7 linked regions of the Macaca mulatta genome follow. The protein of the gene in region 1 purifies or fractionates together with the protein of each later gene. This does not show direct contact. Links are inferred from orthologs where the notes say so. Each region holds a gene or a part of one and is shown in the gene's direction. Other genes may lie near its edges.

Region 1 (3,500 bases):
CTTGAACTCCTGACCTCAAGTGATCTGCCCACCTTGGCCTCCCAAAGTGCTGGGATTACAGGCATGAGCCACTGCACCCGGCTGAGGATAAGCATTCTTTTAAGAAGGACTGATGGCTCTAATATAAAACAGTTTAAGAACGATTATTCAGATTTAGCAATAATTTTTTCCTAAGTGATTTTTTTTTTAAATACTATTCTCTTATACTCAGCCATCCAAGTAAACAGGTATTATTTAAAAATCAAGGTAACACTCAACCTGTCAAATAGGTACATTGTCAACTTTCCCTTTAGAATCAACTTTTATTTAACTATTTAGAATACAGCTTAACATATGCTGATTGGGTTGAATTGCGTTTATTTTTGCAGTGTGTGTGTCTCTTCTAGGCAGAGTGCATACTGTCTAGTATTAGATGTGGGTAATCTAGTTTTTAAAGGAATTAGCATAACGCAGTCACTGATCTGATTCTTATCTCATTTAGAGATGGTGTAGAGGTCGTTGATAGGCCAAATGTAAGAGTGCACAGAGAAGTAAAAAATGAAAGATAGCTTCTTTAATTGCTTAAGTTGCTTGGGCAACTGTGAAAATGAAAGGGCTATTAACAAAAATAGAACAAAAAGAAGTGCCAGTTTGGAATAAAGATGGTAAGTTCAGTTTTGGGCTGGAAATGTGGGGTAGCTCAGGAGAGGAGCCAGCATGTGACAGGACTGAGAGAATTGTTCACATAGGAGTCAAAACATTTCCAAGGAAAACAGTGTAGAGAGAGCATGAAACTGATAAAAAAAAAAAAAACTATCTATGAAGATTACTTCAGTTTGAGTTGGGGAAGAAAAGATGAAGAAAAGGAAGTTAATACAGGAGAAGAAGGCTTAAGAGAGCTAAGAAGAAGGGTGGGTGGTCAGCCGCATCAGTCAATTACTGTACTGAGATCGACGAATGATAATTGGTTCTTTTTTGAGATAGAGTCTCACTGTGTCACCAGGCTATATATTCCAGGAGAGCAGTCTCAGCTCACTGCAACCTCCACCTCCCAGAGATTCTCTTGTGTCTCAGCCTCTCGAGTAGCTGAGATTACAGGCATGCACCACCATGCCCAGCTAATTTTTTGTGTTTTTGGTAGAGACAGGGTTTCACCATGTTGTCTAGGCTGGTCCCGAACTCCTGGTTTCAAGTGATCCACTCATCTCGGCCTCCCAAAGTGCTAGGATTACAGGCCTGAGCCACCATGCCCAGCTGATAATTGGTTGTTAAATTTGGAACTGCAAAGTCCTGGTTACCTTAGAGAGAGTATTGTTTTGATAAGTTTTTATTATTTCACTTTTGGGTTTGAGAAACATGAAACAGAAGTTTTTGACTTGTCTGGAACAGCACAGATTCCAGAAGGACTAACTCCAGCTCTGACTGGTCCCTTTCCTCCTTCACTGGGGCCATTTACACTGTGTTAATTAAGCTAATTGAGATACTGCTAAAAAACTTACTCCAGCAGAATTCACTTCCTGAAATATTCAACCTTATTTTAGAGGGAAAAGTTTGTTTTTAGATAGAATGTTTACATTTTAGGTAGAGCACTGGCCTTAGAGTCAGCAGATGTGCATTCCAGCGCTGCTGCTCCTTAACCTCTCTGGGGCCCCCATTTCCTCTTCAGTTGAATTTGGGAGTTGGGCTAGATTATCTCTTAGGCTATGCTAAAATTATGATGTTAGTGACATTTGTCTCTTTTTTCCCTTTTGGTTTTGCTTTATTTTAATAGGTTCACCAAGTTGAAGAGTCTTAATCTTTCCAATAATCATTTAGGGGACTTCCCACTAGCAGTCTGCAGTATTCCAACCCTGGCAGAGCTGAATGTGTCCTGCAATGCCCTGCGATCGGTCCCAGCAGCCGTTGGAGTGATGCACAAGTGTGTACCTCAAACCCCACTGGCGGGTATATCCAGAGACCCCAGGGAAGCTGCATTGGGGGTGTAGCACATGAGATTAGTTAACTTGTTATGTTGGTCATGTAAGTCTTGGCCCCAAATCAACAGATCAGGGACTGTATAGTCTGTATGGAGTTCATGTGTTAGATTTGTATTCTTTACGATCTTGTAAAAAATTAAATATTCTTGTTTAGAACTGAAGATCCCTGCAAATGAGTATGTCTAAACATGGAATGTGGGTTATGTTCTCATTTTTCTGAGTTATATTGAATTCAAAGACTTAGAAATTAATTTTGAGAAATAATAAGGAAAGCCCAAAGGATATCTGAATCAATTTATATCACAGTTAGCTCATGTTGCTCCCATTTAAGCCTATTCAGATTGGGAAAGCTAGTCATAATTTTCATTTTCAATAAAAGATTAAGATGCTTATCTCTGATTATTTCTCTTTGGTCCGTTATTGCCTCAGGCCCTGCCCTTAGGCATTTTGCAAAGAGTAATACATTTTCTGGTAATACGATCTACACTATGGAACTTGTATGTTGATAATAAAGATGTAAAATTTATACATTCTCTTTGTAATTCTTATGTTTTCTCTAATAGCTTACAGACATTTTTGTTGGATGGAAACTTTCTCCAAACCCTTCCTGCTGAGTTGGAGAACATGAAGCAGCTTAGTTATCTGGGTCTTTCTTTCAATGAATTTACTGACATTCCAGAAGTATTGGAGAAATTGACTGCTGTGGATAAACTTTGTATGTCCGGAAACTGTATGGAGACCCTTAGGCTACAGGCTTTAAGAAAAATGCCTCACATTAAACATGTGGATCTAAGGTAACCATTTTTGAGAAATAGATCTCATTTGAGCTGTTGGCTTATATTGCAGGGGTGGGGAGTAGGTTATTGACCAAGTCAAACAGGCTGGATAATTGAATGTGGACCCATTTTTCTATTTCTGCCTAGAGGGAAGAATTATGATTAATAGTAGGGTTTGCTGTTACTGGAGACTTTCTCACTGATGTATGTCTTGAAGGTCTTTGTTTTGCAAATTGGAACCCAGTTGAGTGAGAGAGCTATTTTTTGGTTTTGTTTTGTATTTTTTGTTGTTGTTGCTGTTTTTAAAGAAATAGGGCCTTGCTCTCTTGCCCCGCCTGGAGTGCAGTGATGTGCTCAGAGCTCTCTTTAGCCTCAAACTCCTGGGCTCAGGTGATCTTCCTGCCTCAGCCTCCCAAATACTCAGGCGTGTTCAGTTTCATCAGTGTAAAGTAGCATCACCTTTTGCTCCCTTTCTTCTCCATTCGTATGGCTCAGCCAAGGAAACCCATACCTTCCAGTCCCACAAAGAATTGCTTGGCTTCACCTTTCCTCAGAATAAAGGAATCAGACCTGTCCTTCCTAGGGAAGTATTAGCAATTTGCAGATATAAAATTCTTAATTTGGAAGTTAAAGTAATTATAATTTATCTGATTTTTGAGAATTTCTTGGAATGTAACAAGATAAGGAACTCTAAACACTTTGTTAACTTGCTTTCCAAATTGTTTACATTATTCGCCTCTGAGTTCCTTCTATTTAGAAAACCCTCATA
Region 2 (3,500 bases), on another chromosome or scaffold:
GCAAAGGCTTCCGTGAGTTAAATCTATCGTCAGTGGTCTGGAGTATTCAAGGCAGCTGGCAGATGCTCAGTACTGCTGTCTAAAACCCTCAGGGGTTTAGACCTGAGGTTGAGATCATTTCTCTGCCCAGCCTTCCCAGGCGTTCACTCCAAACATGTACACTTTTCTTTGCTGCAAAACTTACAGATGGTTAGTCACTGTAGCAGGCAGGCCTCAAGGAGGTAGGTAGATATCTTTTGTTAGTAAAGAAGGTCACTCACGTCTGCCCCCCATCCTTATAACCGCAGTCTGCCTAAGACTGGCCTTGGGTCTTCCTTTGTGGCATTAAGATGTTTTTCGTTCAGCCCTGGGGAGTTTATACATTACAATGTCATGTGTTCCTGTAAAATATGGGGTTCCCCATAATTCTTATTTCTCTAGTGTTGTTTTACTTGCTTATTTGTATGAACAGGGCTTTTCCTTAATAGATTCCTTAAAACTATTCTTTTAAAATTTGTCCTTTTCACATACTATGCATTAAAAATGTATGCAAACTAAACGGCATTTACACTTAATTCAGTACATTCATGGAATGGGGGCCTGGAAGATAACTGGAAGACCCGTTATTCTAGCAGTATACTCTGCATAAACTGTTATCTTTGTGACTTTTTACTGAGGAATGATCAGTTACTAGGTGACTTTTTACTTTTTTTTTGTGACTTTTTACTGAGGAATGATCAGTTACTAGGTGAACGATCACCTAGTAAAAAACCTTTCTATGTTTATATAAGTTTGGGAAGTCCAACATCAAACAACAGAACAATTCCTTTACTGCAGGATTTCTCAAAATCTTCAGTGTGGTAATGTACACTTAGGATCTTCAAAGCAGAAAGTAGCATCGTCCAAACTTAGCCACAGAAACATCACATCTGTTAACATCTCCAGTGCTCTCATGCACCCAGTTTGCAAAATGTAGCCCTAAACCAACCCCTGCATTTTATAAATGAGGAAACTGAGAGCTAGAGAAGGGAAGTGACTTGCCCAAGATCACAAGGGTCGGAATGAGAGTGAGCCTGGCACGCTTGGTGTCCCAGTGCCCAAGAGTGTGTGTCAGAAGCATCCATCTCCTGCCAGTCCTCGGAACCTGTAAGTCCAGCAGTCGGCACCGTCTACCTTGTCCTCCTCCCATCTTCCTGTTCTCAAAAGCTCTCAACCCACCTCTCCATCATCTGAGGGGGTAGACTGTCCAAGTATCATTTCTCTCTGGAAGGCACAGGGCAGTGGTGGAGAACAATTGCACAACCTATTTTTATTTGTACAAAAATTCTGAAACATCTCCTTTCAACAAATAGACACACACCGTTGTACATTTCTCCTGCTGGGATGCTTCTGGGAGCCAGGAATGTAGGTTAAATCAGCTCTATATAAGCCAACATACTTTTATCCTTGCAAACTGTTTGGTTGTTTGCTGGTTTGAAGTTGGATAGAACTTCCTCGTATTCTGTTTGGGCAGGTGACAGTGTATTCTCTTCCCCTAACAGGTGTTGGGTACAACTGATTTTCTATTTCATGGTTTCTTAGGATGAGGGTAAAAAAGCTGCCCATGATCTTGGCCCTGCACCTAAAGCGGTTCAAGTACATGGAGCAGCTGCACAGATACACCAAGCTGTCTTACCGTGTGGTCTTCCCTCTGGAACTCCGGCTCTTCAACACCTCTAGTGATGCGGTGAACTTGGACCGCATGTATGACCTGGTTGCTGTGGTCGTTCACTGTGGCAGGTAAGGGCAAGACTGGAAGCAGACATACAGGGTAAGTGTAAGGGTTGCCCCTTCGCTGAAGTATATCCAGCTGCACCTTTCCTGGGCCGTGGCACTCAGTACTTTTGGGATATCTTCCAAACTCTTACTGATCATCACAAAAAATATGTAAACATGCCTGCAGACACATAAAATAAAGAGCATTCCAATAATGAAAATCTAAGTGTTCTATCATGAGAGAAATCACTTAATAAATCTCCTTTGCATGGAAATGATGGTTATGAGGAATTTGAAATAACATGGAGAAATGTCTATGCTATTATTTTAATTTTTAAAAAGCCAAGTTGCATTTATAGTATGATCTCAAAAGTATTTTAAGATGTGTAAATAAAGACTGGAAGCAGTGGATCAAGTTTAGTATTTTTTTGGCACTTTGAGTGATTAAAAATATATTCTCAAAAATATTCTTTGTTATTTTTATTCTTTCCCCAACATTCTGTAATAAGTATATAATCAGAAAAAAAGATAAGAGAGAGAAGGCCTCTAGATATGGAAAGGCAAAGCATTTTGCCGAAATCCTTTGAGCAGATTTTTTTTTTTTTTTTTTTTTTTTTTGAGACAGAGTCTCGCTCTGTCCCCCAGGCTGGAGTGCAGTGGCACGATCTCGGCTCACTGCAAGCTCCGTCTCCTGGGTTCAGGCCATTCTCCTGCCTCAGCCTCCCGAGTAGCTGGGACTACAGGCGCCTGCCACCGCGCTGGCTAATTTTTTGTATTTTTAGTAGAGACGGGGTTTCACCGTGGTCTCGATCTCCTGACCTTGTGATCCGCCCGCCTCGGCCTCCCAAAGTGTGAGCAGATATTTTTTATTCCATAATTTGGTATAAGGGAAGAAAAATATATTGAAAATTTACCTGTTTGTTATTCTTTGCTCAGCTGGGACAGGTGTATGTTCTGTCTTGGGAGTAGGCACAGCTTTCCCCCGCCCTCGTAGGTTTTAGATTGGGGCGTGTCACAGAGTAAGAGTCTTTCTCCGCCATCTGCTAAAATCGGATTATGGTGAACACACCATTACCAGGAGACTACCATTGCCATGCACAGGAATAGACTGATACATTTTTAATTGTGTACTAGGGTAGATGGCATCAGAAACTGTAACTTTACATGTGAAGCACCCCATATTTTATCCTGCACGTATTAACTTTAAGTCACTGGATGTTTTCTTGTATTCTCAGTAAAATGGTATTTATTTGCTAGTTATATGCCAGTTTTGTGGTGTTCTCCCTGAAGAAGAGCTGTTATTCTTTTGAAGAACACAGTGTTTCAGTGACCTGGAACCTAGCCTTGAGCACTGGGTGAGGCCTCACATTGGTGCAGGGTTCAGGAAGGTCTTAAGGCAGGCAGAGCCTGGGACCTGGTGGGCATTGTGGCTAAAGTGGGTGGCAGGGGTGGTGTGAACAGGAGGGCCCCTTGCACAGGGTACACAGGACTTTCAGTGTGGGTCTCTGTGGGTGCCCAATTCAAATCCTTGGGAGGACTGGCAGAGACCCAGGTGAGGGAACTGGACGTCCAGCGGGAGGCTGGGTTCTCTAAGGTCAGTTTCTGTACTGTGAGCACAAGGTCAGAAGAGCCCTGGTAGCAGAAATCAGTTGGTGCCAAGTCATGCATGCCACTAACTAGGATTCTTCAAACTCCTCCCCACAGAAGTAGCATTGTTCTCCTGTGTGGAGCAGGGTTGGCCTATGCATGTGGATTGGGTGGCTTCC
Region 3 (3,500 bases), on another chromosome or scaffold:
GTCTTTTGCATCTACCATCCATTGGAAATTCTCAAAGGATACCTTGATGCTTTGTAAAGATTTCGTTTCAGGAACTCTACATGGGTAATTCATAGTTGAATTAAATTTTATGTATAATTTTACATCCTGACTTCTTAAGTATTTTCCCATGTCACCTGGAAACTTTCATCAGCAGTGTTTTATTTAAGTTGTACAACACTCTGTTATGTTTGAAGTCTAATTTATTTCTACATTTCCTGTTGTTGAATAGTTGGGATTTTTTACAATGTAAAAGAACTCTACAAGTAGATTATTCTCATAAGGGATGTTTTTGAGATTATATATTTAATTTATGTTTCTAGAAATAGGATTAGTGAGACAAAGGCCGTAAAGGCTCCCAATTTATATTGCTGGATTGCTTTCTAGGAGTGACTAGTTGTTTACCTTTACTTTGGCTAATGTTTCCAAAAGGCCAAGTTACTCGAATAGTAAGTAATTTAGGAATAATAAGCTATCCACCATATTTAAGACATGTAGAATGCAGATTTAGTATAATGTTATAAAATGATTTTTCACTTATTAGAGACAGTGGCTTACCATATATCTCACTTGTTTAAATTGTGAGGAGTATTTTGCTTCACCAGACCCATTTAAAATTCAGTTCTGCAACATTTGGCATCTATCCTATGTCAGGCATGTTGCTAGATAGTGGGGAAATAAAAATGAAGGGAATGCTTTCTAGCTGCCACGAGTTCAGGGCCTAGAAGAAAAGAACCGTAATCACCTAAAATTGTTACCATGTAATAAGCTTGACATATATAAAGTGAACCTGTAAAGCGCTGATGGAGGATTGAAGAGAGCAGGTATTTGTGCCAGAGGGTGTGACATTTGAGCTGAGCCATTAAAAGAATAGATTTTTAGGTGAAGTAGGAGTACAAAGGCACTCTCAGGGAGAAATGGCATTTAAAGGCATAATAAAGATTATTTAGAACATGAAGAACAGCCTGTGTTTCACAATTAAAAACTTAACTCCTAAGTTTCCAGGTTATTTTATTCCCTTTCTAGGATATACATAGTCATTTTTCTTAATATGGAATTATTTCTTGTCTCTGACAAGCACCTTGAATGGTCTGTAGCGCTTTTGTTGTTTTAGTCTCCTATTGTCAGTCTGTACCTGCATCATATAGATTGATAGAAAAACTAGATTTCAGTCTACCCAAGTCCAAAGGAATTGTCAGTTTCAAGAAACTTGTTTTCCCTCTACCACTCTTGAGCACCCTGTGCATTTAGCCTTATTATAAGAGATGTGTGTGTGAAAAATACAGATTCCTTAACCAAGGACTAATGCCATTCCATCTGTTTCGGAGCCATGTTGAGTGCTATGTCAAATTATGTGGTGTGGCGATGATCGGTAGGGTGGGATCGTCCTAAGATGTTCAGAACATTGTTTTGTCATTATAAAAATAATTGGTAGAAATGTGCGAAACTGGGCAGTGCTGGGCTATTAAAACTGACCATTGACTATCTGTTCGTTGGATATCATAGTTTGATAATTCAAGGACATGGTGGATATCTTTTGTGAAATTTTGTTTTCATTTTTATTTTTAATAGGATGAAAGTTAAAAAACTGCCCATGATTCTAGCTCTACACCTGAAGAGATTTAAATATATGGATCAACTTCATCGATATACAAAACTCTCTTACCGGGTAGTTTTCCCTTTAGAACTTCGTCTATTTAACACTTCAGGTGATGCCACCAATCCAGACAGAATGTACGACCTGGTTGCTGTTGTGGTTCACTGTGGAAGGTAATTGCAACTCCGGGGACATAGTAGTGGAATTTCTAGGTTAGAAGAGCAGTGTATATTCAAGATGTTCATGAATTATTCAAATGCAGAACTTTTAGAAATTCTGTATTCTTCTCAAGATAATTTTATTTCAAAATGGAGTTTTAGCTTTACATTTTATCATTCCTTAAAAATTTTATATGTTAAAATATATTGTTTTTATTTTTATTATTTATTACTCTGCAAGTACTATATCTGATTTCCTAGAACTTTGAGATCTGTTAGTTTTCCTTTTTTGGGGTGTGTGTATAGAGGGTTGTTGGTTAAAATAAATCACTTCTGAGTTTAATTGCATATGTTCAGCATATCAGTGGTTGTAAAAAGCATTTAAAATGGCATTGGAAGTAATCTTCAAAGATTCATTTTTTGATTTTACCTGGGTGTGTATTTATCATTTCCTATTAGCTAATTTTGCTTTCTGTCTCCTTCTCATCTTCTTTTCCAACGTGGTATACACATCTTCTCTGTATGAACATACATACCTGTAACTGACCTTATTAAATACATCAAAAAATTCTCAAACTGCAAGAGCATCACATAATCAGAACTTGTATTTGGAACATAACCGTCTTCATTGACTGCTTAGAATTTCCTTTAATAATTTTAAAGCAGGCACTCATCATTTTCCCCTTGGTTTTGGGAAACTTGTACTAACAGCATGTTTTATCCAAATAAAAAAAGTTCCAGCTTTCTCCACTTCAGCCCTCCTCCCAGCTCTCTGATTAGAATTTTTTTTTTTTTTTTTGGAGACAGAGTCTCGCTCTGTCGCCCAGGCTGGAGTGCAGTGGTGCCATCTCGGCTCACTGCAAGCTCCGCCTTCCGCATTCAAGCCATTCTCCTGCTTCAGCCTCCCAAGTAGCTGGGACTACAGGCGCCCACCACCATGCCCGGGTAATTTTTTGTATTTTTAGTAGAGAGTTTCACCGTGTTAGCCAGGATGGTCTGAATCTCCTGACCTGGTGATCCGCCTGCCTCAGCCTCCCAAAGTGCTGGGATTACAGACGTGAGCCACCATGCCCAGCCTCTGATCAGAATTTTTAAGGACAACCCGGAGGGAGCAAATACTCTGTAATAATCGTCTTGTACCTCCATTGCCTGGGTCAGCCTTGGGTCCCGTCTTTTATCCTCAGCAAGAATCTTTCTTCTACTTCTAAATTAAGAGTGATCACATCTTAAAGGAGTGAAGCAGTGTCAAGATTACTTAAAGAACCTTGGTGTAGTGATTCAGACCAGGTATTCAAAGTGAGAGAAGCCTGGATCTCAGTACCATTTCTGCCAGTTGTGGGCAGTGTGATGTTATGCAGAGTTTCCTGAAAAGGCTTCAGTTTTCTCTTCTAGAAAATGTAAATAATACTAATTACCTCATTGCTTTGTTGGGATTCAAAAGGAGATGTAAATCAGCTACTGCTACTGTCTTAGTAACAAAAATATAATACTGCCTTCTCACATCCCAGCTCTATAATATTTACTTTCTCACACCCTAATTAGACTGTTCTTTAGCCTCTTCAAATTTAGTAACAGTCCTACTCTACTTAAATTATGTTAGATTTTTAGAATTATGCTCTACTCACAAGACATTGAGTTGAGATGCCTGACTTAGATGGCAACCAGGGTCCCGTCCCCACTCTCTCCTTTTAAAATTAACCCAACCCTTTCCCCACCCTGAAATCCTT
Region 4 (4,209 bases), on another chromosome or scaffold:
ACTAGAGAGGGCCTGATCACCCTCAGCTCCTATAATTAGTGTCAGTGAAAACCACACTTTCACCCAGAAGGACCTAACTGTTCTAGTATAAGAGATGATTTAAACTAGAACTGGGTTTTCAGTTCAGGGTTTGGAACTGAGTTGTCTCTGGGAACAATTTTAGCTGATGTACCGTTTTCACCTTCCTGTAACATCTTTTTGTCTTTTTTTTTTTTTTTTTTTTTTTTTGAACTTTTAAGTTCAGGGATACAAGTGCAGGTTTGTTATATAGGTGAACTTGTGTCATGGGGGTTTGTTGTACAGACTATTTTGTCACCCAGGTATTTTTTTTTTTTTTTTTTTTTTTTGAGACGTAGTCTCGCTCTGTCCCCCAGGCTGGAGTGCAGTGGCCGGATCTCAGCTCACTGCAAGCTCCACCTCCCAGGTTCACGCCATTCTCCTGCCTCAGCCTCCTGAGTAGCTGGGACTACAGGCGCCCGCCACCGCTCCCCGCTAATTTTTGTATTTTTTTAGTAGAGACGGAGTTTCACGTGTTAGCCAGGATGGTCTCGATCTCCTGACCTCGTGATCCGCCCATCTCGGCCTCCCAAAGTGCTGGGATTACAGGCTTGAGCCACCGCGCCCGGCCTGTCACCCAGGTATTAAGCCTAGTACCCGTTAGTTATTTTTCCTGATCCTCACCCTCCTCCCACCCTCCACCCTCCAAAAGGCCCCAGTGTGTGTTGTCCCCCTCTTTGTGTCCATGTGTTCTCATCATTTGGCTCCTACTTACGAGAACACGCCGTATTTGGTTTCCTGTTCCTTTGTTAGTTTGCTTAAGGAAACGGCCTCCAGTTCCATCATGTCCCTGCAAAGGACATGATCTCGTTCTTTTTCATGGCCCCACTTTTTATCCTTTTAATTTAAATGTATTATTTGCTCTTCCCGAAGATGGAGGCAATCTCCTTTGCAAGGACTTCTATTCTTCCCCCTTTGAGGCCAAGATACAATTCTCCGCATTTTTAGGTACTTAATAGTAAATCACTTGGTTCCCCTGCTTGTCTAGGAAGGGTTAGGAGATCGCCCAGCGCCATGTCTTGCACTGTTAATTCTTTCAGTGCTTTCATTTCGCTTGGACCTCTCGGGGAGGGCCTGGAAAAGAGAGCAAGCCAGGGTCTAGGGCCACACAGAAGTGGATTTGGATTGCTCACTCAGCCCTGAAAAGTGGCTCTCTCCCCATCAGTATTATACTTGCACAATGATTTTGTTTTTAGGTGCATCTACCTCACCACGTGGCTACCGGCCATACAGCAACGAACACCACCTAGGAAACACATATCCTGTCTACCTTCAGACCCGCCACTGATCCTTGGCCAAAGGGAAACGGGCAGAACATCCGCCCGGTCTGAGCCACCTCCGGAAGTGACGTCGGAGTGTCAACATGCAAGATGGCGGCCCATCACCGGCAGAACACAGCAGGGCGGAGGAAAGTGCAGGTATGGAAGCCCGGTTCCTCGGCCTTCCGGACGCGGCTGGCAGCTCCGGGCCCACTCCAGCTAGAAGGTGTCCGGGGCCACGGCCGGCCGGGGTAGCGGCATGGGGCGAACGGGGCGGGGCGCGGCCGGCCTTGAGGGGTGGGGCCGCGGCGCTAACGGCTTGAGGAAGGGGCGGGGGTCGGCCTGCGTGGCCCTTGGGGCCCAGGCCCGGGACCCTCGCGGGCGGCGTTCTGAGCCCGGGATTGCTGGTCGCCGCTTTTCTGTAGGAATGGACTTGCGGGGTCGGGATAGGCTAGTTCCCCGCCCACTTGCCTCCCTCTTCCCCTGCCTTTCTTCGAAGCGCTCTGCCCTCGCTGCGTCTGAGCGGAGGCCTCCAGGGGTTTCCCGGGAGGGTGGGCGTTGGAGGAGTGAGCGGCCTGTGCGGGGGCGTGGCGAGGCGGCGGAGCATCGACGGCCCTGCGGGGTTTCTGCTGAGGATTCCGCACTTGGGAGCCCCCAGCCTTCTCTTATGTTGGAGCTGTCCCCTGGGTAGGTGGAAGTGACATGAGAATGTGCGTGGGGAAATTATAATTTTAATTGGAAATTTAAGTTCGTCTTCACCATTTCTTCACCTTCAGTGTGCATCGCTGAATCTTTCTTTATTGTTTGTATAATTTATTGTCCATGTGGTAAAGAGTTGTCTAATCTTACCGTGTGTGTCTTGTGCCTTGTGCCTTTGTGAATTCACTTTTGTTTGGGGTTACGCTTAAGAGTTATTGCCACTTCGGGGAACATCACACACCGTGGCCTGTCGGGGTCTGGGGGAGGGATAGCATTAGGAGAAATACCTAATGTAAATGAGTTGATGGGTGCAGCAAATCAGCATGGCACATGTATACCTGTGTAGCAAACCTGCACGTTATGCACATATATCCTAGAACTTAAAGTATAATAATAAAAAAAGTTATTGCCATTTAATATTTTCCGTGATGCAGGGAATAAAAGCCCTCTTACAGGTGTTTGCCTGCAGGTGTATTGTATGTGGTAGTGGCAGTTTGGTGCATTTATTCTTTAAACATTTACCTAGCACTTAGAGTGGCCCCCAGAGGGGAAAAGGGATTGAAAGGTTGTAGGAATAATTTACACCTAGGCTTTCTTTATAAAACACAGCATTATATGGAGTTCTGCAGGTTGAAATCAAGTGTCAGATGAAGGTGGTTAGATAAAGGGATCCTTCAGTAAGGTAATCCCAGCAGAAGGTGGTAGGTTATAAAGTCTTCTGAGTAGTTCACATCTTGGTTTTATTGATCTCATTGATCAGCACAGTGTCTTAAGCACTCACTGTATGTTTGTTGAAATGAGTGAAATTAATGAGTCTAAACTCACTCTGTTAGGTGAGTTTTTCAGTGCATTAGTGATAGGATTTCAGTATCACCAGCATCCAAGGCAGGTAGTGAGAATGTCTCCTCTGGATGGAAATATAACTCAAAATTGTAACCTGATTGTATTACAAGTCTATAACACTATATGGTGGTATACTTCTCAGGGGAATAAGGGTAGTTCATCAGGCCTTTCAGTTTATTGCATTAAGACTTAAAAGTCCTATTACTGCAGTGTGTTCCCTGCTTGCTTCCTTCCCAGGCCTACCCACTCCCAAAATGCATGCAATAAAGTATATATATTTTAAAAAGACTTACAAGGCAATTGTACTAGTATGGGATGAAGAAAATGTAAATTAACTGCAGCAGGTTTGGAAAACCAATGTTTTAATAGGCTGAATGTGAGCCAGTGCATGTAGAATGAGACAGGTGATGGATAATGCCACTTTTCACTGGTCAGAATAAAAAATTAGAGTTTGCTCTTCCGCACTTAGGACCGTGTTCTTCATAGGTAGCAGTCAGATTGGTGAACTGACTTGAAATTATTTCCTATGAAGAACTTTTGAAAGAGCTGTCTGAGATTAACCTGCTGAAGAGAAGATTCAGGTAGCTTTCAGAATTTGTCCCCAAGGTATAGAAGCAGCCTGAGAAGCCACAGGATTGATTTCATCTGAACCATCATTGTCTATGAGGTGTTATTTAAACTAATGAGTGTTCATTGTAAAAATCCCAGCAAACAAAAGTATAGATTAGAGTTGCCCTCCATGCTTCCGAGAAAGCTGCTGTGGGCAATGTCATGTTTTAATCCTAGACCAGAGTTTATCAACCTGAGCATTCTTGAAATTTTCGTCTGGATAATTCTTGGCTGTGTCTGAGGGAGGGAGCTGTCTTACGCATCACAGGTTCTTTAGCATCATCCCTGGCTTCTACCAACTAGATGTGGTAGCATCTCCCTGGTTGTGACAACTAAAAATGTCTCCAGACGTTTTCAGATGTCCCCTCGAGGGCAAAACTGCTGCTGGTTGAGAACCACTGTTCTGTACCTCTTCCTGCTTGTGTACCTGACTTAACGTGATTTTTTTTTTTGCTATAAGTGGAGCCATAGTATTCACTGTTTTGTGTCTTGCTTTGTCAAATTTTTAAATAAACACTCCCTTTAGCCCAGAATTCCTTATCTAAAAATATATTCTACAAATTTGCATATGCATATATCTGTCCCTACTTATGCAAGGGTGTTGTGTGAAGCCATTCTTGAATTGCTATAAAGAAATACCTGAGACTGGCTCATTTATAAAGAAAAGAGACATAATTGGCTCACAGTTCTATAGGCTTTACAGGAAGTATGGTGCTGGGATCTGCTCGTCTTCCAGGGAGGC
Region 5 (3,500 bases), on another chromosome or scaffold:
GCCAGGGCTCTGGTGCTGGGAGCACTGCCCCCTGTTGAGGTCCCAACCCGCCCTGGAGACCTGAGCCCAGGCCACTTTGCTCACCTTTCAAACACTCCTTGGCGCCTCAGGGGCTGCCAGGGCCCAGCCTGATGGCGTGGTGTGGGGGTGTGGCATGAGGCAGTGTGATGTGGGGGTGTGTGGTGTGGGACAATGTGGTGTGAGACAGTGTGATGTGGGGGTGTGTGGTGTGGGACAATGTGGTGTGAGGCAGTGTGATGTGGGGGTGTGTGGTGTGGGACAATGTGGTGTGAGACAGTGTGATGTGGGGGTGTGTGGTGTGGGACAATGTGGTGTGAGACAGTGTGATGTGGGGGTGTGTGGTGTGGGACAATGTGGTGTGAGGCAGTGTGATGTGGGGGTGTGGTGCGGGGCAGCGTGGTGTGGGGCAGCGTGGTATCGGGCAATGTGGTGTGAGGCAGCGTGGCGTGGGGCTACGGGTGGCATGGTATCGGGTGGCATGGTATCAAGCAGCATGGTATCAGGCAGCGTGGTGTCGGGCAGCATGGTGTGGGGCTACGGGTGGCATGGTATCAAGCAGCATGGTATCGGGCAGCGTGGTGTGGGGCTGCTGTCCTGCCCGTGGGGCTGCAGTTCCAGCTCCGCTTCCTTGCAGGCCCTGAAGTACTCCTTCCAGACCCACGACCGCCTCTGCTTCGTCATGGAGTACGCCAATGGGGGCGAGGTAGGGGCTGGGGCTGCGGGGGATGGGCCTCACGGCCTGTGGACCCAGCCCTGGCAGCTGGGCCACCCATAGTGGGGCTGGTCCTTCCCGGAACCTCGGCTACTCTCCACAGCACCAGACGGTGCTCCCTGCTGGGTGGGTGGTATGACGCCTGCCCAGGCAGCTGCCTGCTGTGGGGTGACTTGTTCCTGCTGAGTTAGGGCTTCTGAGACTTTCCAGGCCCCCGTGCCCTCTGGGGGCTGGTCCCTTCCCTGTGCCCAATGCCCTGAGCCCCTGCCTGAGAAACCCCAACCCTGCAGGCCGTGGGGGCAGAGGCCCCGGCCACGGCTGTGCCTCAGGTCGTGCTTCCCACAGCTCTTCTTCCACCTGTCCCGGGAGCGTGTGTTCTCTGAGGACCGGGCCCGCTTCTATGGCGCCGAGATCGTGTCAGCCCTGGACTACCTGCACTCGGAGAAGAATGTGGTGTACCGGGACCTCAAGGTGCGCCGGCGGGCACTCGGGGTGGGGGCAGGGCCCTGGGAGCCTGGCGGCACTGACCTGAGGCCACCTTTCCCCTAGCTGGAGAACCTCATGCTGGACAAGGACGGGCACATTAAGATCACAGACTTCGGGCTGTGCAAGGAGGGGATCAAGGACGGCGCCACCATGAAGACCTTCTGCGGCACACCTGAGTACCTGGCCCCCGAGGTGTGCGCCCCACCTGTGTGCATACGCGTCGCTGTGTCCCCACGTCCCGAGCACACGCAAAGCTGTGTCCTCTCTGTGCCCCAAGCACGTCACGACACCTCCCCCGGACACCCCCTGATGCCGAGTCCTGCCCATCTGCCGCCCGTGCAGGTGCTGGAGGACAATGACTACGGCCGTGCGGTGGACTGGTGGGGGCTGGGCGTGGTCATGTATGAGATGATGTGCGGCCGCCTGCCCTTCTACAACCAGGACCACGAGAAGCTTTTTGAGCTCATCCTCATGGAGGAGATCCGCTTCCCGCGCACGCTTGGTCCTGAGGCCAAGTCCTTGCTCTCAGGGCTGCTCAAGAAGGACCCCAAGCAGAGGTGAGGGCCACCCATCCCGGCTGCAGGCTCCACCTCCATCCCCTCACCCCCAGGCTGCACCTGCCCCTGTGCCAGGCGGTCCTGGCACCTCCCAGACTACACTGACAGCCAGAGCTTGATGTCCTTGGCCAGGGCTGATCCCCAAAGCCTCAGGCACAGGCAGAGTGGCTGGGTAGGGCAGGGTCAGTTGGGCCTCCATCCCCAACCCTGCAGCCCCCACACCCCCAACTCAGGAAGCCCCTGCCTGCCGTGAGCCCTGGGGTGCTTTGCTCCCCACAGCTGCTCAGGGATGCTGCACCACCGGTTGCCCTCCCTGGCCCCAGAACGTCCTGTCCGGCGGGCCCTACATCACAGGAGGAAGGGGTCTGAGCCTGGGGCCTGGGCGGGTGGCAGTACCGACACCGTGGCCTTGTTTGCTACCCGCAGGCTTGGCGGGGGCTCTGAGGACGCCAAGGAGATCATGCAGCATCGCTTCTTTGCCGGCATCGTGTGGCAGCACGTGTATGAGAAGAAGGTGCGGCTGCTTCCCGCATATCCACACTCACGCATGCACGTGGCACGCTCGCCGGATTTCCCACACACCTGCCCTCACCTCGGGAGCCTGCTGCAGTCCTGGTACAAGGAGGGCCTTGCTGCAGCAACCTCAGTGCCTGCTGCTCAGAAGCTCTGGCACTGCTGGCTTCCTCCAGGAAACTGGCCTGGTCCTCCTCATTTCCTCCTCCCCTCAGAGATGTGTCACACTCTGAGTGCCAGCCTTGGGGGTCCCTTCCCTGATGCTGTGCAGTGAAGGCTGGCTGGCGGTGGACCAGGGGTGCTGCTCCTTGCTCTCTACCAGTTCCTCCTGTTGTCTGATCTCAATCCTTTATGCTGCAAGGAGAGCCCAGCCCTACTTTCTGGCTGTGCAGGGACGGGACAGCACCTACTTTCCTGGCACATGGGGGAGTCCGCCCTGGAGGGAGGCAGCTCTGTCTACATGAGTCGCCATCCTGGGTGCTCATCTTTCAGGAGCCCTGGCCGTCACCCTGGCTGATGGGGTCTGCTGGCTAGGTTCAGAATCCTGCACTCTGAGGTGCTGGGTGCCCTGTCACCAGGTGTGCTTCTGCCCAGTTCCCAGCCTGCCCCTCCCCTGAATGCCTGTCCCAGGCCATGTGCAGCTGGTCAGGCTGGGCAGCCCTGGGACCCAGCTGGGCACCTGTCCTCCCATTAACACAGGGTGCCCTGGCCCTGGTCCCAGTTCCTGCCCTGAGGCCTGCCACCCTCCAGCCCTGCCCTGCCCTTCAAGGGTATGGGGGGCCTGGGCAGTGCTCAGCCTCTGCCCAGCCTTGACCAGAGACCTTGCTAATTGACAATGGACAGTGCTGGTGCCCAGGCCAGACTTGGGTGGGGCAGTGCTTGAGGGAATCCTTGACTGTGGGACCTGAGGGGCTCTCTGGCAGCTCCTCACATGTGCACATCGCCTTATAGTCACCCTTGATCCTGGGTCATCGAGAGTCCTCTCTGCAGCCAGATGCCAGGAGGCTGCGATCCTGTAGTCCCTGAGCCATGGAGGCAGGGTGCGCTCATCCTGTGCACCCTGTTCCACAGTCTCCCTCTTTCCCAATTTACAAGAAGACTAATAAAAATAAGAAAACAAGAAAGAAAAAGCAAAAATAAAGTCATCACCTACTGGTAGCAGGGACGGTCTCAGAGCTGGGCCGCACTACCTCCTGTCGCCTGCTGGGCTG
Region 6 (3,500 bases), on another chromosome or scaffold:
AATTCTTCTGCCTCAGCCTCCTGAGTAGTTGGGACTACAGGCCCATCACACTGTGCCTGGCGAATTTTTGTAGCAATGGAGTTTTGCCGTGTTGGCCAGGCTGTTGTTGAACTCCTAACCTCAAGTGATCCACCCACCTCAGCCTCCCAAAGTGCTGGGATTAGAGGCATGAATCACTGTGCCCAGCCTCTTGAGTATGACTTTTAACAACTTGATTTCTTAGCATTTAGTAGAGAACCTTTTAATAGATAATTTCGAAGAGATAGTGATAGAGCTGTATGTTTTGCAGATGAATTACTTTTTGTTATATATCATTTTGCTTTTGTATGTTTTCTTGAGATTTAAATGTCAAATAGGTGTGATTATATGACAAATATTATGAAACTTACTCTTTTCTGCTGTTTAATGATATATATAAGAATTCATGTCAAGGATAACAGATGGAAAAAAAAAAAAAGGTTCTTAAATCTTTCAGAACCTTTTGAGGTTCTTAAATCTAAAATCCCATATGTAATGTTTAAAATAATTTGTAACATTGAAGATTTATAATTATTTTGTCTAGGTTTTTTACCCTCCATTATATACATTTGCAAAATGTGATGGTAATTTTGTGTTCATTAGTTGTCTGCTTTGGTTAAACTTCCTTCTGGAGAGGATTACAATTTGAAACTGGAACTTCTTCATCCTATAATACCAGAACAGAGCACGTTTAAAGTACTTTCAACAAAGGTAAGACAATTGAAAAGGTTTGTTGCTAGTAATATTTTCAGAATTATAGAAATACTGGTGAACTGATCACCGATGTGTTTATGAGCTTGTAGATTCTTTCAGCCCTTTATATTTACAAGGGACAGGGAAAAGAAGAATGATAACTTTTGAGTGTAAGGGTTATTTTACCTCTCAAATTCTAGTACAGTAAAGTGTAAAAATCCACTTAGCTTGTGTGGTGTTTGTGCACTTATTAAAACAGATATAATGTTTTTCAATAAAGAGATTTTTTTAAAAGATACAATAATGAGCCTATCTTTTAAGATTGGATACTGGCCGGGCGCGGTGGCTCAAGCCTGTAATCCCAGCACTTTGGGAGGCCGAGACGGGCGGATCACGAGGTCAGGAGATCAAGACCATCCGGGCTAACACGGTGAAACCCCGTCTCTACTAAAAATACAAAGAATTAGCCGGGCGTGGTGGCGGGCGCCTGTAGTCCCAGCTACTCGGGAGGCTGAGGCAGGAGAATGGTGTAAACCCTGGAGGCAGAGCTTGCAGTGAGCTGAGATCCGGCCACTGTACTCCAGCCTGGGTGACAGAGCGAGACTCCGTCTCAAAAAAAAAAAAAAAAAAAAAAAGATTGGATACCGACAGTGTCTCTTCTCTTGAACTTGTCAGTTTTGTTTGTTTTGATGTACACATACTTTTCTCACCCTACCTCATGCAGTTAAAAATACAAACTACTATAAAGATGAATCCTTCTTTTTTTTTTTTTTTTGAGATAGAGTCTTCTTCTGTCGCCCAGGCTGAAGTGCAGTGGCACTGTCTCGGCTCACTGCAACCTCTGCCTCCTGGATTCAAGCAGTTCTCCTGCTTTAGCCTCCCAAGTAGCTGGGACTACAGGCATGTGCCACCACACCCTGCTAAATTTTTGTATTTTTAGTGGAGATGGGGTTTCACCATGTTGGCCAGGCTGGTCTGCAGGTCCTGACCTTGTCCTTTTTTTTTTTTTTTTTTTTTTTTAATTAAAATGAATTTTACGTTACTTTGTAATGAGGGAACAATGAATAAATTATAGTTTGAGTAGTTTTTAGATTCCTTTATAGTTTCTAAAAGAAGTAGAGATATACAATAGAATTAATGTTCAGAGAGTATCACTCAAAAGATGTAGATAGTAGTGTAATTTAGTAGGAAAAATACTGAATTGAAAATTTAAAAATCTGACTCTGGATCTTTGCTTGCCCTGTGAATTTAGTCTAGGCACAAAATGACTATAAGACTGAATTTTCAGCACCTTTGAAGGAGGGCTGTGGACCAAATGAACTCTGGAGTCCTTTCAGCTGTAGAATTGTGTGAAGGTATATGATAAATGAGTTAATGGGAATAAATGATATAGGTAGGCTTTTTCCATTACTTTTTTTTTTTTTTGAGATGGAGTCTAGCTGTGTCACCAGGCTGAAGTACAGTGGTGTGATCTCGGCTCACTGCAACCTCCGCCTCCTTGAATCGGGTTCAAGTGATTCTCCTGCCTCAGCCTCCTGAGTAGCTGGGATTATAGTCACGTACTGCCACACTCAGCTAATTTTTGTATTTTTAGTAGAGACGGGATTTCACTATGTTGGCCAGGATAGTCTTGATCTCCTGACCTCGTGATCCGCCCACCTTGGCCTCCCGAACTGCTGGGATTACAGATGTGAGCCACTGCACCTGGCCTACTACTTTTTTATACACAAGTCCTGCAGCATACTGTGCTACTATTTATTAGGTTGAAGCTCTAAGGACATGTGAAGCTTCCTGTTGTGGAACAGGATCGGGGCTGGCCTGTGTCGTGAAGAATGATATTTGGGCTTGCAAAAAGGAGACAGCTGCAGAGTGTTGGAGAAGGAAGTGCAAAGTGAAGTAGTTTTTGCATCTAGTTAAAAAGGATCTGCCTATTTATTTGAAGATTGTCAAGAACAAAGCTGGTTAATTATGAGGCAGATTTTTGAAATAGCTGCTGGGGACAGTAGAAATTGAGGAAAGGGACAAAATCTTACCAGGATTTTGGTCTGTCACTGGTCCTATCCACATAGTATAGAATTTGTTTAATAAAAGAATTATTTTGAGTAATCAAGCACAAAATAGGTAGATTTGAGAGGGATATAGTTCAGAAAATTATGAATTTGACTTTTTTTGATATGTCTATCGAGATTGCTAATGCAAGTGAGCCGAAATCACGCCACTGAACTCCAGCCTGGGCAACAGTGAGAGAGACTCTGTCTCAAAAAAAAAAAAAAAAAAAAGTTAATGCATGTCCATTTGGAGTTATTTAAATCGAGTGTGAATAAATGATAAATGACTTAAGAACTTATATTACTGAGCCACCTCCTATGGTGGAAGAATATCATGTGTGGCAAATACACAGATGTGTGGCAAGAGTCGAGGATAATTAAGCATTCTTACCTCTTTTTTCTCTTTTGAGTCTTGGATTTGTTAATTTTAACCATTCTTCAACCATACTACTGTGTTCTCAGTTTGCCTCTTCTGCCCCTTTCCTCTTTAAATACTAAGTGACTGCTTTTCTTTCTTGTATAGTAGTTTATGTATACATTTCATGTCCCTCATTTCTATGCAAGTCCTTGAGGATAAGAAGCATGTTTTATTTGTATCTTTGTACGTGCCCCAGTTAGGATCCCCAGATAAAGTACAAGATGCTCACTTAAGTTTGTATTTCAGATAAACAATGAATATTTTATGTAAGTATGTTTCATGCTATATTTTTATTTGTCAAACTTGGCAGCCCTCACCACATA
Region 7 (3,943 bases), on another chromosome or scaffold:
CCTCCCTGGAATTCTATTAGAATGTTTCTGTCACTTTAGAAACTTTCCTATTCTGGTGCAACATGCCAAGAAACCCAGGTATAAAATAGTGATTGTTTAATCTTACTTTGACACGTGTGCCCGTTCTTACAAATCTAGACCCTGTACATTACATGCATACAACTATCCCTATGGATCTCCTAGTAAATAATCTCACTGACTCCACCTGAGGCTTCTGGAAAAAAAAAACCAATTACCTTAAATTTTATTAAGAGCTCTTCGTAAACTACTGAGCAAGAGAAGTGAATCCTGCATAGATTCAGTCCCCGGTTCCCAGAGCGCTTCCCCGCCGCGTGTCTCTGAACAGTTGGAAAGGACAAACCTCCGCTAAGAAGCGGAGGCCGCCAGTGCTCACCACACATAGGAATTAGGATATTCATGCTGTACCACATTCTTCTCTACCCCTACCCGGCCTGAAATAAAACATAGTGAAGCGTAAATCTTGAGTACTTCGGTACCTTCTCAGAAACGGCGGCGAGGAGGCTTCCAAGGGGCTTGCTTCCTGACCGGGGATCAAGACGGTCGCGCGGGTAGTCAGCACTCTCTCTGGGCGGGACAGTCCCCGTCCCGAAGGGAGGGCCCAGGAGGGGTGGAGCCGTCCCCGCCCGAACACAGGGGCATCCGCGCTCCCTGTAGGGTACCCCGCGTGCTGGCCCCGAAGCGGTGGCAGTCGGGGTGGCGCTCTTCCTCCGCTCTTTGGGGTCCCGGCGCCCCTCAGGGCAGGGGGGGAGACCGCTGAGGAAGCACCCTCAAGTTCACCTCAGGCTCCTGACACCAGCCCCGCCGCGGTTCCCCATGATCGGCTTTCCGTTGGTCCTAGTGGCTGCGGAACCGTCAACTAGACCCCACCGGCTGGAACCAACATCACCTGGGAAGCAGCCGGGCCGCCCGGAGGCCACGCCCGGGGGAGGAGCCTGCGGACGCCCAGCCGGGTGGAGCACGCCAGGTGAGCACGCCTGCGCAGTCGGGCCGTAAACAAGCCCGCCCCTTCCCTTCGGCCCGCCTTCGCGGGGCTGGCCCGCGGGTGGGAGGGGCGACAAGGAAAAGGCAAGGGGTGGGGGAAGAGGGAGCACCGGGAACAGCGCCTGCGCGGTGGGCGTGATCCGGGCACTTAGGGCAGGATGAACGCTGCTTTCCAAGATGGCGACGGAGGGAGGAGGGAAGGAGATGAACGAGATTAAGACCCAATTCACCACCCGGGAAGGTCTGTACAAGCTGCTGCCACACTCGGAGTACAGCCGGCCCAACCGGGTGCCCTTCAACTCGCAGGGATCCAACCCTGTCCGCGTCTCCTTCGTAAACCTCAACGACCAGTCTGGCAACGGCGACCGCCTCTGCTTCAATGTGGGCCGGGAGCTCTACTTCTATATCTACAAGGGGGTCCGCAAGGTACCGACCCGGGCGTCACCGGGGTCAGCCAGCGGCGTAGGCAGAGGCGGGAGCAGGGCGGTGACAGTGGGGCCAGGGTGACCGAGGGGGTGGCCGTCGCTCTTACTTTTGAGTGGGCCGGTAACTCCCTCCACTGGGGTACTCCTGAGGAGAGGGGATTCAGGAGTAAGGAGGGTGGTGGCGGTGGCATTTCGAAGGGGTGGGGGCTGTGGAAAGGAACCGTGGGACGCGGGGTTCTGGCTGGGAGGCTCCCAGGGGAGCCGGCTGCGTCCCCTCCAGCCTGGTCCATCAGGCTCTGACATGGCCAGGGAGCGGGCCTGCGAGTCCCCGGAAGAGATGGGGTGGCCGTCTTGTCTGCTTCGATTGCCTCGCCTCCCTGGAGGGTTGGAAGTCTCGCCCTGGGTTAGAGAACAGGGGCGCAAGACGGCTTAACAAGATCTCTGTAAGGCGGAACTGGGGCCGGGAAGCCGGAGACTGAGACTAGGTCAGAAAGAACCTGCTCGGCACGCAGGGCTACTCCACCTGCTGCCGCACTGACACTTCCTAGGAGCCTCTCCTGGTGTTAACATTTCTATTTCCAAAAACATCCGCGGGAGGTCGGCTGTCAGTGTCCGCCGAGGGGACGTTCTGAAAGACTGTTAAGGAGAGTCATCTTGTCCCTTGTAGTATGCGAAGGGCTGAGTACTACAGTTGAAATGATGTTTGCAATGAACTAAGCTGGTTCAGAGGGGTTGTGTGTGAGAGTGCCCAGATTAGTCTTGTCCAACAAGTCAGACTGTGTCCCAAACGGGGAGGGATAATGCCTTAAAGGCTACTTTAAAGGGACCATCCTTCTTGGCGGGCGAGTTACCAGTAATGCTCTGAAGCATATAAGCATCCTTTAAAAGTATCTCTTTAAAAGCAGCCATTTATTAGAGCTTTTCTTTCATTGGCTATGTAACTGTGTTTTCACTGAGAATTGCTTAGTTTTGAGATTGTAGTCTTTGACTTGATGTTATGGAAGAGTGAGGAAATAAATGCATCCCACAGCACCTCCAAATAGGACAAGGTGATAAAAGATTAATTCGCAAATGCATGTTAGCATGAAAATAAATTGTTCATATTGAAGAGTGAACATTCCCTAGGATTTCATATAGCCAGATCCAGTGCAGGATTTTCGCTTGTTACAAGAGCTAGGGAAATGACAGTGGTATCTAAATGTAGCAAAGTTGTTTCTTTCATTCACGGTGAATCTTTTTTATTAGTGTTTATGATAATAAGTGTACCACTGTATTTAGAGTATACTATTAGAAGTTATTGAGGGTAAATCGCTTGACCTTTTTTTTTTTTTTTTTTTTTTTTTCTCCCTCTTTTGGAATTGCAAACGCTTGAAGTAGTCTTCAGTCTAGGGGCTGAAGTTTTACTCCTACTCCCAACTTTGTCACTGACTTGTTGGGTGACCTTGGATAAGTTATTTAACTTCTATTTGCACCTCTTTAAAAAGGGAATGTTACAGTGCACGTTGTAACTAATAATATAATAATCGTAATGAATTTTAAGGCTCTGAAACACTCAGTAGATGTAAAATATAGTTAAAGAAATACTAAGTAACTGTCAAATAAGAAGCTGCCGTCTTGACGTTGATGTTCAGAGTGAAAGGATTGATTTTGTTTCTGGAAATTAAGTTTAGAATTTTAAGTTTTAAAAATTTATATAAAAATACAATGTGCTTAAAAACTAAATTCACTAACTAGCAATTATTAATGCAGGAATTACTTTAAAATTTTTTTTTCTTTGAAGGTTATTACTTCTGAAGCATCCTAATGGCAAACCTTATCTGGATCTGGTAGCCCTGGTTTACATCATAAAGACAAGTTTCTTGCCTGAAAGGATCCTTACAATAGTGTTCTCTTTTAGTGGGACGCTATTCTCTGAAGGGTAAAAGGAGGCAAGGCTTTTAAAACTACACCAAAAAATTATTTTAAACAAGATAAATCTGAAATACGTAAATTGCCCTTACCTGCATAATTTGAGTGTTTTAACGTTTTTTTGGGTCAAATTTCATTTTCATGTGGTAGTATCATAGATACATTTGCATTATGTTGCAGATGTTTCTGCTCTCTTTTAATTGTAACTTAAAATTTTTTTTCCATTAATGAGTTTGCATTTATTGTTACTTCTGAGTGTAAGTGATTTTTTGTGGCTATTTTCTGATTTAAAATATAGGAAATAAATTTTCCTTAATTGGAAAACCAAGATTTACTCTTTAGAGTTAGTAGTTATAAACCTATTTTTGACCGATGGCCATTAAACATGTTTTTATTTTTGTTTTTAGAGACAGGATCTCATTCTGTTGCCTAGGCTGGAGTGCGGTGGCATGCTTATAGTTCACTACAGCCTCAAACTCCTGGGCTCAGATGATCTTCTCACTTCAGCCTTCCTAGTGGCTGGAACTACAGGTGTGCACCACCATGCCTGGCTAATTAAAAACAAAAAAATGTTTTTTAGAGATGGAGGTCTTGCCGTGTTGCCCAGG

The links.
Region 2: the proteins of PHLPP1 (region 1) and USP46 purify together in Homo sapiens (affinity purification with mass spectrometry; 7 studies listed by BioGRID and IntAct, counting the BioPlex papers as one, with this or other methods). This does not show direct contact. The link is inferred for Macaca mulatta from reciprocal best matches to the Homo sapiens genes PHLPP1 and USP46.
Region 3: the proteins of PHLPP1 (region 1) and USP12 purify together in Homo sapiens (affinity purification with mass spectrometry; 4 studies listed by BioGRID and IntAct, with this or other methods). This does not show direct contact. The link is inferred for Macaca mulatta from reciprocal best matches to the Homo sapiens genes PHLPP1 and USP12.
Region 4: the proteins of PHLPP1 (region 1) and WDR48 purify together in Homo sapiens (affinity purification with mass spectrometry; 5 studies listed by BioGRID and IntAct, with this or other methods). This does not show direct contact. The link is inferred for Macaca mulatta from reciprocal best matches to the Homo sapiens genes PHLPP1 and WDR48.
Region 5: the proteins of PHLPP1 (region 1) and AKT1 purify together in Homo sapiens (affinity purification with western blotting, with the first as the bait; 3 studies listed by BioGRID). This does not show direct contact. The link is inferred for Macaca mulatta from reciprocal best matches to the Homo sapiens genes PHLPP1 and AKT1.
Region 6: the proteins of PHLPP1 (region 1) and SUGT1 purify together in Homo sapiens (affinity purification with mass spectrometry; 5 studies listed by BioGRID and IntAct, with this or other methods). This does not show direct contact. The link is inferred for Macaca mulatta from reciprocal best matches to the Homo sapiens genes PHLPP1 and SUGT1.
Region 7: the proteins of PHLPP1 (region 1) and WDR20 purify together in Homo sapiens (affinity purification with mass spectrometry; 4 studies listed by BioGRID and IntAct, with this or other methods). This does not show direct contact. The link is inferred for Macaca mulatta from reciprocal best matches to the Homo sapiens genes PHLPP1 and WDR20.

Annotation. Positions count from the first base shown.
Region 1 is NC_133423.1:17,992,867-17,996,366, reverse strand, and holds part of PHLPP1 (PH domain leucine-rich repeat-containing protein phosphatase 1), read left to right. Parts: intron 1-1,750; coding exon 1,751-1,897; intron 1,898-2,518; coding exon 2,519-2,749; intron 2,750-3,500. UniProt on the Homo sapiens protein: Protein phosphatase involved in regulation of Akt and PKC signaling.
Region 2 is NC_133410.1:80,909,083-80,912,582, forward strand, and holds part of USP46 (ubiquitin carboxyl-terminal hydrolase 46), read left to right. Parts: intron 1-1,560; coding exon 1,561-1,758; intron 1,759-2,991; exon of another isoform or gene 2,992-3,089; intron 3,090-3,500. UniProt on the Homo sapiens protein: Deubiquitinating enzyme that plays a role in behavior, possibly by regulating GABA action. May act by mediating the deubiquitination of GAD1/GAD67.
Region 3 is NC_133422.1:7,160,896-7,164,395, reverse strand, and holds part of USP12 (ubiquitin carboxyl-terminal hydrolase 12), read left to right. Parts: intron 1-1,590; coding exon 1,591-1,788; intron 1,789-3,500. UniProt on the Homo sapiens protein: Deubiquitinating enzyme that plays various roles in the regulation of the immune response and inflammation.
Region 4 is NC_133407.1:101,351,243-101,355,451, forward strand, and holds the start of WDR48 (WD repeat-containing protein 48), read left to right. Parts: upstream 1-1,409; 5' UTR 1,410-1,427; coding exon 1,428-1,475; intron 1,476-4,209. UniProt on the Homo sapiens protein: Regulator of deubiquitinating complexes, which acts as a strong activator of USP1, USP12 and USP46. Enhances the USP1-mediated deubiquitination of FANCD2; USP1 being almost inactive by itself.
Region 5 is NC_133412.1:178,211,574-178,215,073, reverse strand, and holds part of AKT1 (RAC-alpha serine/threonine-protein kinase), read left to right. Parts: intron 1-655; coding exon 656-724; intron 725-1,078; coding exon 1,079-1,204; intron 1,205-1,282; coding exon 1,283-1,411; intron 1,412-1,561; coding exon 1,562-1,776; intron 1,777-2,202; coding exon 2,203-2,290; intron 2,291-3,500. UniProt on the Homo sapiens protein: AKT1 is one of 3 closely related serine/threonine-protein kinases (AKT1, AKT2 and AKT3) called the AKT kinase, and which regulate many processes including metabolism, proliferation, cell survival, growth and angiogenesis.
Region 6 is NC_133422.1:31,930,778-31,934,277, forward strand, and holds part of SUGT1 (protein SGT1 homolog), read left to right. Parts: intron 1-621; coding exon 622-729; intron 730-3,500. UniProt on the Homo sapiens protein: May play a role in ubiquitination and subsequent proteasomal degradation of target proteins.
Region 7 is NC_133412.1:175,491,952-175,495,894, forward strand, and holds the start of WDR20 (WD repeat-containing protein 20), read left to right. Parts: upstream 1-1,143; 5' UTR 1,144-1,179; coding exon 1,180-1,428; coding exon of another isoform or gene 1,429-1,464; exon of another isoform or gene 1,465-2,744; intron 2,745-3,943. UniProt on the Homo sapiens protein: Regulator of deubiquitinating complexes. Activates deubiquitinating activity of complexes containing USP12. Anchors at the base of the ubiquitin-contacting loop of USP12 and remotely modulates the catalytic center of the enzyme.